2 linked regions of the Cricetulus griseus genome follow. The protein of the gene in region 1 interacts with the protein of each later gene in a pairwise test. Links are inferred from orthologs where the notes say so. Each region holds a gene or a part of one and is shown on either strand. Other genes may lie near its edges.

Region 1 (3,817 bases):
ACACATTTTCCAAACTGAAGTCTTTGCATACGTAGAGTTTTTTACAGACAGGTTCAGTTTTCAGTCATGCCATGAGCATTACTTTGTACAAGAGGAATTTTAAACGACTGAGCAATGAAGGTGGAGATAGCCATCTTAAGGTTTTCATACTTACCTCAGAGGTTATCTGGTTTCATCTCCAAGGGGATCATAGCTAGTGAGCAGTAGTAGCTGTTGGACAGAGTCACAAAATGTCTCGGTAAGAATGAACTCTAGAGTTCTTTCATGGGGATCTAATTCTTCTTCCTTCTCACTTCTCTGAATTTGGGGGATATCTCCTTGTGTTATTTCATGTGCCTTGGGAGCAAACTTAACCAGAGCTTGCCTTCTGTGTTTTCTCAGGACAACACAGGACATCTCGCTGTCTTTGGCAGCAAGGAATTCTCAGCCTCACAGCCCGACATCTTCCTCTACATCTGGGAGTTCCTTGCTGCAGTCTCCACCATCTACCAGATTGTCTCCTGCTCAACACGCCTTGGTCTCAAACCAAGGTGACCATTCTACTCACCTGCCAAGGCAGCAGCAGCATTTTCTTCCTAATCAGAGTCACCAGGGGGACCACTATCGTCTCTCCCAGTCCACGTTGCCTCCTCCAACAGCACAGCAGCAGCCAGGAGAAGCCTACTCAGCTATGCCTCGGGCTCAGCAGTCTGCTTCTTATCAGCCCATGCCAGCTGATCCTTTTGCCATCGTCTCTAGAGCTCAGCAGATGGTTGAGATCCTCTCTGATGAGAATCGGAACTTGCGGCAGGAGTTGGATGCATGCTATGAGAAGGTGGCGAGACTACAGAAGGTACGGCTCCCCTTAAGGGTCAATAGAGACTTCTTTGAATCATTCTAGTGGGAGTTGTTAAATACCCGTTAAAAAATGTTTCATCTGTGTGTGCTTACTATCTCTTACGGGTAGATCTTTGACATTCTTTTTTTGATGTTGGTCAAACTTTAGAAAAAAAGCTTTATCTGCCTAAGATAACTGCCTTTTACTGTTTTTATTATCATACATTAATGATACAAAATAATGGATTTCATGATAAAATTTTCACACATGCATATCATGTACTTTCATCAGGGTCACTCTCACTTCCGTCTTTTGTCTCCCCCTTTCTTTAAGAGAAGTAACATGTTACATTTATACTAAAAGAAAAATACTACAGATGTTCCAAACTCTATAACTCTTAAGAAAACTTAGTTCATTGTCCTAGTCAAAAAGTCAGCAGATATACTTCTTAATAATGAGTATTAGTAGGTCTGTGCTCATGGAAAGCCCGCCAGCATTTAAACGCTTTTTGTCTTGTTTATATTTTCCCCATATGATTTTGAATCGAGAAAAAAATCCCACCAGCTGAGATTTTGTATGGTTCAGGAAGAGACTGACAGTGTTCTTCCTTGTGGTAGTTTTCTTCATAATTCTTTGACACTAGCCCTCTTCCCCACGTTTGCTTTGGTCTTTCTCCACAGATCCACTTCAACATCTGCTCCTTCTCTGGTGTGTGTGTGTCTGTGTGTGTGTGTGTGTGTCTGGGGGGGGGTGCACAAAAGGGATTTAGCACCACAGCTGGGTGACAGGTGACAGCCCTAGGCAGAGGAAATAGAAAAAGGAATGTGTGTCCCAAATTCCCATTCCTTCTTCTTCCCCTTACCCCCACTGTCTGCTGTAGCTGGGACTTTAGTTTTTGAGGGCCTCAAAGCCCAAATCTCAGTTCTTGCCTTAGTGGCTATTAGTAAATAGAATTATGCATTTGTTAGCTTCTTTGTAGCTTTTGGCCATGCAGAGTTCATGTGGCATGATCTCCTTGCAAACTGTTAAGGAAGTTCGAGGCTGAAGGCGGGGAGGGAAGGACAGTTGCCCTACTCTGTCCCTAAGACATAAGAGTGGAAATTTCAGGGGCCTGCATGAAGCTGAGAACTTGCCAACACCAGATCTTTTACCTAAAAGAGAAGAGGGCTAATTTTCCATAGTTAAGTGGTTTTTATATAGTGAAAAAAAAAATGCCCCCTTTCTCAATTTCCTCAAATCCAGTTGAAGGTTATGATGGATTGAGAGCTATTACTTTGTCTTGATTTTATGTTTTCTTGTCAGTTTGAAAATACCCCTTATTGCATTAATGGTGTACATGTACATGAATTTTGTGTATTGACTAGAAACCCTGTTTAGCTGATTAGACCTCCCCTAACTTTTAATTTGGGTTGGCCTGGCCTCATCTTTGACATAATCACTGGTTACTGAGCTCAGATCTTCTTTGTCAATGATCTCTGGTGACACTTGGAGCTGGGTTGGGTGACTAGTGCAGGGAGCAAAATCGGAATTTTGTTTATTGTTTGGTCCTTGTGCAGATGTATGTCAGAAAATGACAATTATGGCTTGCGCGTCTGCAGAAACAGTTCCAAGCCAATGCTGGGGTTCACAAAAGGTGACAGGAGGGGAGAAGAAAATGAAAGTAGATGGTAGAGCTAGAAAGAAGGAAGGTAGGAGGAAGGGGGAAGGGGGAAGGGGGAAGGGAAGGAAGGAGAAAAAGAAACAGAGGAAGAAAGGAGGACAGACAGAAAGAAAAAGAAAAAGGGAGAGACGAGAGAGAGAGAGAGAGAGAGAGAGAGAGAGAGAGAGTGAGAGAGAGAGAGAGAGAGAGAGCGGGAGAGCAAGCGAGCACTGGAGGCTCCTGAGGACAGAAAGTAGAATTAGCAAGCCCTAACTCCCAACCCACCCCACCCCCACCCCTGCCACTCTCCCTCTGTTTCACCTCTTCCATCACCCACACCGAGTCAGTGAATCTGCCTTTATTGGCCTTTCTGAGAAGGCCTTGTTGCATGGCTCTTTGCAAGAGGACAGTATCTCCACAAGGGAGAGGGGAAGGATTAGCAACACCAGATCCTTCCCAAGCAGGCTGTGCACTTGGAGAAAAGGGACTGTCGTCTAGGTGAGGCTTCTGGGCTGTAAGCAGGAAGCCTCCCTCACTTGCTCTTGGCTGACTCTTGCAGACCAACACCAAGCCTGCTCTTTCAAATGGAAATGTTTATTTTTCTCCTCTCCAGCACTTGAATTTCATGCAAAAGCCTCATCAGGCACAAGCCCTGCAGATCTTGTCTCTAAATGCCATTCACCAGTTTTCACCTTCTGTGCTGCTATCTGGGTGCCATCTGCAAGGAGAACAACACTCTCAAGTCTGCTCTTTTCAGTGCTGTAAGCCTCATTTGTTTGCAGGCAGTCCTGTCTCCAGCAGGATTTTGAAGATGGGGGCAGCTGGAATGGGAGTTGATTGTAACTGCGCTGTGTCTCCTCCCCCATCCTCCATTGGGCGCTTGTTTATTTCACCCCCTAACACACCCTGAGCTTTGTTCAAGAAGAGTGGCAAACTGAGAAGAAATGCAGGGTGGTTACAGGAGGAAGACTTAATTTGAAAATTGCTTAATAGGCCATGGGGTTTATTTGTCTTATACAAATTATATGCAAATAATCGCCGAGGTCATTACACGTGCACTGGAGCTGTACTGGTCACAGAAAACCTCTGGAGTCTGATTTCTTGTTTTCTTCCTGATTCTGGCTAATTCTGGACAGGAACCTTTGGCTTTCTTCTCCTTTTATCAGATTTGCAGAGAAGTGTCATAAAACAACACAAATCATGACTTTCAGTTAAAAAATCAGCACTAGTTTCCCACTGACTATAGTGCCTATGGGATAAAGTCCAAATGCCTGGCATTTAAAGCCATTTTATGGCCTGACTTCAGTTATCTTCGCAGCCATATCCCTCTAGCTTCCCTGTGGCTACCACACAGTGGCCAG
Region 2 (3,817 bases), on another chromosome or scaffold:
CAACTGAGATTTCCTTCTGTGGCTCCAACCGGGCCGCCAGTCACTGATGTGGTTCTTCTGTCTCACCTTCACAGGCCATTGAGAAGCTGGTGGCTCTTCTTAATACGCTGGATAGGTGGATTGATGAAACCCCGCCGGTAGACCAGCCTTCCCGGTTTGGGAACAAGGCCTATAGGACCTGGTATGCCAAACTTGATCAGGTGAGACTGTCAGAGCACAGGCTGGGCCAGGCCAGTGGGAGGACTACTATGGCTCCATATGGGTCAAGGTCTGTGTTCAAAGCAAGCCTGTCTAGCTCCCAAGCATAAAATCGGGTAATTTGTTAGAATGGCAGTTTTATTTACCTAAATTACAAAATCATCCTCTGTCCCAGCCTGTCTTCTGGGAACTGCAGGTGTGGCTACACCTGTATGAGGCTGCTTATTAAGTCATTTTATTAGCAGCAGATTGGAAATGACTCAGGTATACATCATAAGAGGACAGGTTAACTATACTAGACCGTCCATACTGTAAAGTACTGTGCAGCTCTGAAAAGGAATAAGGAAGCCAGGTGGTAGTAACACACACCTTTAATTCCATTACTTGGAAGGCAGAGGCAATTGGAAAAAACTCCCTACCAAAAGAAAAAGGAAAAGTTGGGCAGGGGCATACACCCTTGAATCTTGGGTGGCAGAAGCAAGTGGATTCTGTAAATTTGAGACCAGCCTGATCTATACAAGTTCCAAGCCAGCCACAGTTACATAGTGAGACCCTAATCTTTAAAAAACCAAAACAAAGCCGGGTGGTGATGGTGCAGGCCTTTAATCCTAGCACTGGGGAGGCAGAGGCAGGCAGATCTCTGAGTTCGAGGCCAGCCTGGTCTACAGAGCGAGCTCCAGGACAGGCTCCGAAGCTCCAGAGAAACCTGTCTCAAACCCTGTCCCCCCAAAACAAAACAAAACAAAACTTAGCTTCTTACATCTGGAATTTACACGTGATCTTCTAGGGTCCAAAGGGTTTGGGCATCCTTGTGTCTCCAACTCTTCTGTCTGCAGCACACATAGCTTGTCTTGTATGTAGGCTCAAGTTGGCTCTACTCCACTCCTTGCACCTTGCTTGCACTTGCACTGTCCTGTGGTTTCCACTGCAATGAAGGCTGCACCATCACTAACAGCCCCCACACTCCAGCCTTGTCTTAGGGACTCTGACCTTGATGTCAAGCCTCAGTTTCTCTCTTCTATGACTTCTCATACCTTCAAAATCATTCCAGGTGGAGACTTTTACACATTACTCAGCTCAGCTTCCAGCTAGAGATGCAGCCTTGCCCAGACCACAGCTTGTCTACACAGTTTGTCTGGTGAAGTATTTCCCAGAACAGTTCTCAATGATGCTGATCTCATATCAACCACAATCAATTTTTCAGCACCGGATGACCAGAAACCATCACATGAATAGCCTCTGTAGAATCTGCTTCTTTGTGAAACTTCACAAGCCGGGCTTCCACTGTCTGCATTTTTCTCAACATTCTTCCTACAGAACAGCCTATTAAGCTCTGAGGACTCGATGTCTTTTCCAGCTCAATGTTCCTAACACTTCCACAGTCTTCCAATAAAACATGGTCATTTCCATTGATTCAACATCCATTCCTGGTACCAGTTTCTGTTCTTTTGGTCATGGTGTATATTGACAGTAACAGAGAAGAAGCAAACTGAAATAATTGGAAATTGTTTTAATCCAAAGCCAGAATTCATTCTCCTTTTTTTTTTTAAAATGAAATTCAGGTTGATAACTCAAATTGCAGTTTTTGTTTTTTATTTTATTTATTTTTTTGTTTTTTGTTTTTTCAAGACAGGGTTTCTCTGTGGCTTTGGAGGCTGTCCTGGAACTAGCTCTTGTAGACCAGGCTGGTCTCGAACTCACAGAGTTCACCTGCCTCTGCTTCCCGAGTGCTGGGATTAAAGGTGTGCGCCACCAATGCCCAGCTAAATTGCAGTTTTTAAAATCAGGTATTCTCTGTGGCTGGAGAGATGGTTCTGCATTAAGAGCATGTTGTTAACTATTTTTGAGACAGAGCCTTTCTAGTTAATCTGGGCTGTCCTGGAACTTGCTTTGTAGCAGGCTGGCCTCAAACTCAAACAGATCCTCCTTTGTCTGCCTACTGAGCGCTGGGATTAAAGGCTACTGTTGCAGAGAACCTGTGTTCAGTTCCCTAGCACCTACACTGGGTTGTTGTGGGAATTTATTCTGCCAAAAACTTTGGAGTAGCAGCCTTAGGGCATGGCTTCTTGTCTGTAGATGTTATCTCTCTGTCTCTCTCTCTCTCTCTCTCTCTCTCTCTCTCTCTCTCTCTCTCTCTCTCTCTCTCTTGGTTTTTCGAGACAGGGTTTCTCTGTGTAGCTTTGGATCCTATCCTGGCTTTCAATGTTATCTCTTAAAAGGAGAGAGATAGGAGTTCTCTCTTGAGTTGAGAATACTGGGTCAGGCAGCTTGAAGCAGCATGTGGCCAGTTCCTGTTTCCCTTGGGGAGAAGGACTTTGCAACTGGTTATCCTTGTTCTGTATCCATGAGTCTGTTTTCCCCATAGCATATCTCTCTCTGTCTCTGTCTCTGTCTCTGTCTGTCTCTCTCTATACATACATACATACATACATACATACATACATACATACATACATGCCACAGAGAAACCCTGCCTCGAAAACACACACACACACACACACACACACACACACACTTACTTTTGATTCTAGTAACACTGGGTTGCTCACGACTACCCGCAACTGCAGTTTTAGTGTATCCAACTCCCCCTTCTGGACTCCAAGGGCACTGCATGCATGTGATATCCATAAATGCACTCAAGGCAAACACACACAGTGCAATCTAGAGATACATTAACTTGATTTATGCTGAGGAGTGACAACAGGGACATTAGAGGTCTTTATTTTCTGTAGTTTTCTTTGATTTTGATTTTGTTTTTGTTTTTTTTTTTGTGTGTGTGTGTAATGCTGGCTATCCTAGAACTCACTTTGTAGACCAGGCTGGCCTTGAATTCCCAGAGATCTGCCTGCCTCTGCCTCTCCAGTGCTGGGATTAAAGGTGTGCATTGCCTCCACCTGGCAAGCCATTATATTTCTATTAGAGAACACTGTGCAGAGAAAGCTCTGCAGTTGCCAGCATGTGAGCCTGGGTGTGTCAGTCAGGGCTCATTGGTATTGTGTGGTGTGGTGGCATGCATGACAGCACTCACAGTGCCCAGGTGCATGCCGTGTGCTCAGAACCAAGGCCGAAGTGGCGTGTGTTGCAGCAGAGGAGAGCATTGCCAGCAACACCTTAGACTCAAAAATGCAGTTGATCTTTATTTTTATTTTTTATTTTTCCTCCGAGACCGGGTTTCTCTGTGTAGCTTTGGAGCCTATCCTGGCACTCACTCTGGAGACCAGGCTGGCCTCGAACTCAGATCCGCCTGCCTCTGCCTCCTGAGTGCTGGGATTAAAAGCGTGCTCCACCAACACCCGGCCTGCAGTTGATTTTTTATTAACTCTGACTGTTGATGCTGTTGCCACCCTGACATTCAGCTACCTCTACCCACAGTTTCAGGAGCTGGGTTTTCAGCTTGTCTGGGTTACAGACTCAGATGAGCAGACAAAGAGCCTGAGCCCACTGTATTGATGTACAGATCTTGTTTCCTTTGAGTTGGGAATGGGAGGAATGGAAGTTAGAAATGCATGTTTGTGCTGCTCATATTTGCAGAAGAAACACCCAGTAAAGTCCAGGAAGGTCATTAAGCTCTCTGTACTGTGCCATACCCCGGCTGTGGATTTTGAGGACAGTGGAGAAT

The links.
Region 2: the proteins of Amot (region 1) and Ptpa interact in binary tests that used the Homo sapiens proteins (3 or more experiments, as listed by UniProt). The two-hybrid records come from large-scale screens. The link is inferred for Cricetulus griseus from reciprocal best matches to the Homo sapiens genes AMOT and PTPA.

Annotation. Positions count from the first base shown.
Region 1 is NC_048604.1:35,457,573-35,461,389, forward strand, and holds part of Amot (angiomotin), read left to right. Parts: intron 1-381; coding exon 382-832; intron 833-3,817.
Region 2 is NC_048599.1:142,100,935-142,104,751, forward strand, and holds part of Ptpa (serine/threonine-protein phosphatase 2A activator), read left to right. Parts: intron 1-74; coding exon 75-200; intron 201-3,817. UniProt on the Homo sapiens protein: PPIases accelerate the folding of proteins. It catalyzes the cis-trans isomerization of proline imidic peptide bonds in oligopeptides. Acts as a regulatory subunit for serine/threonine-protein phosphatase 2A (PP2A).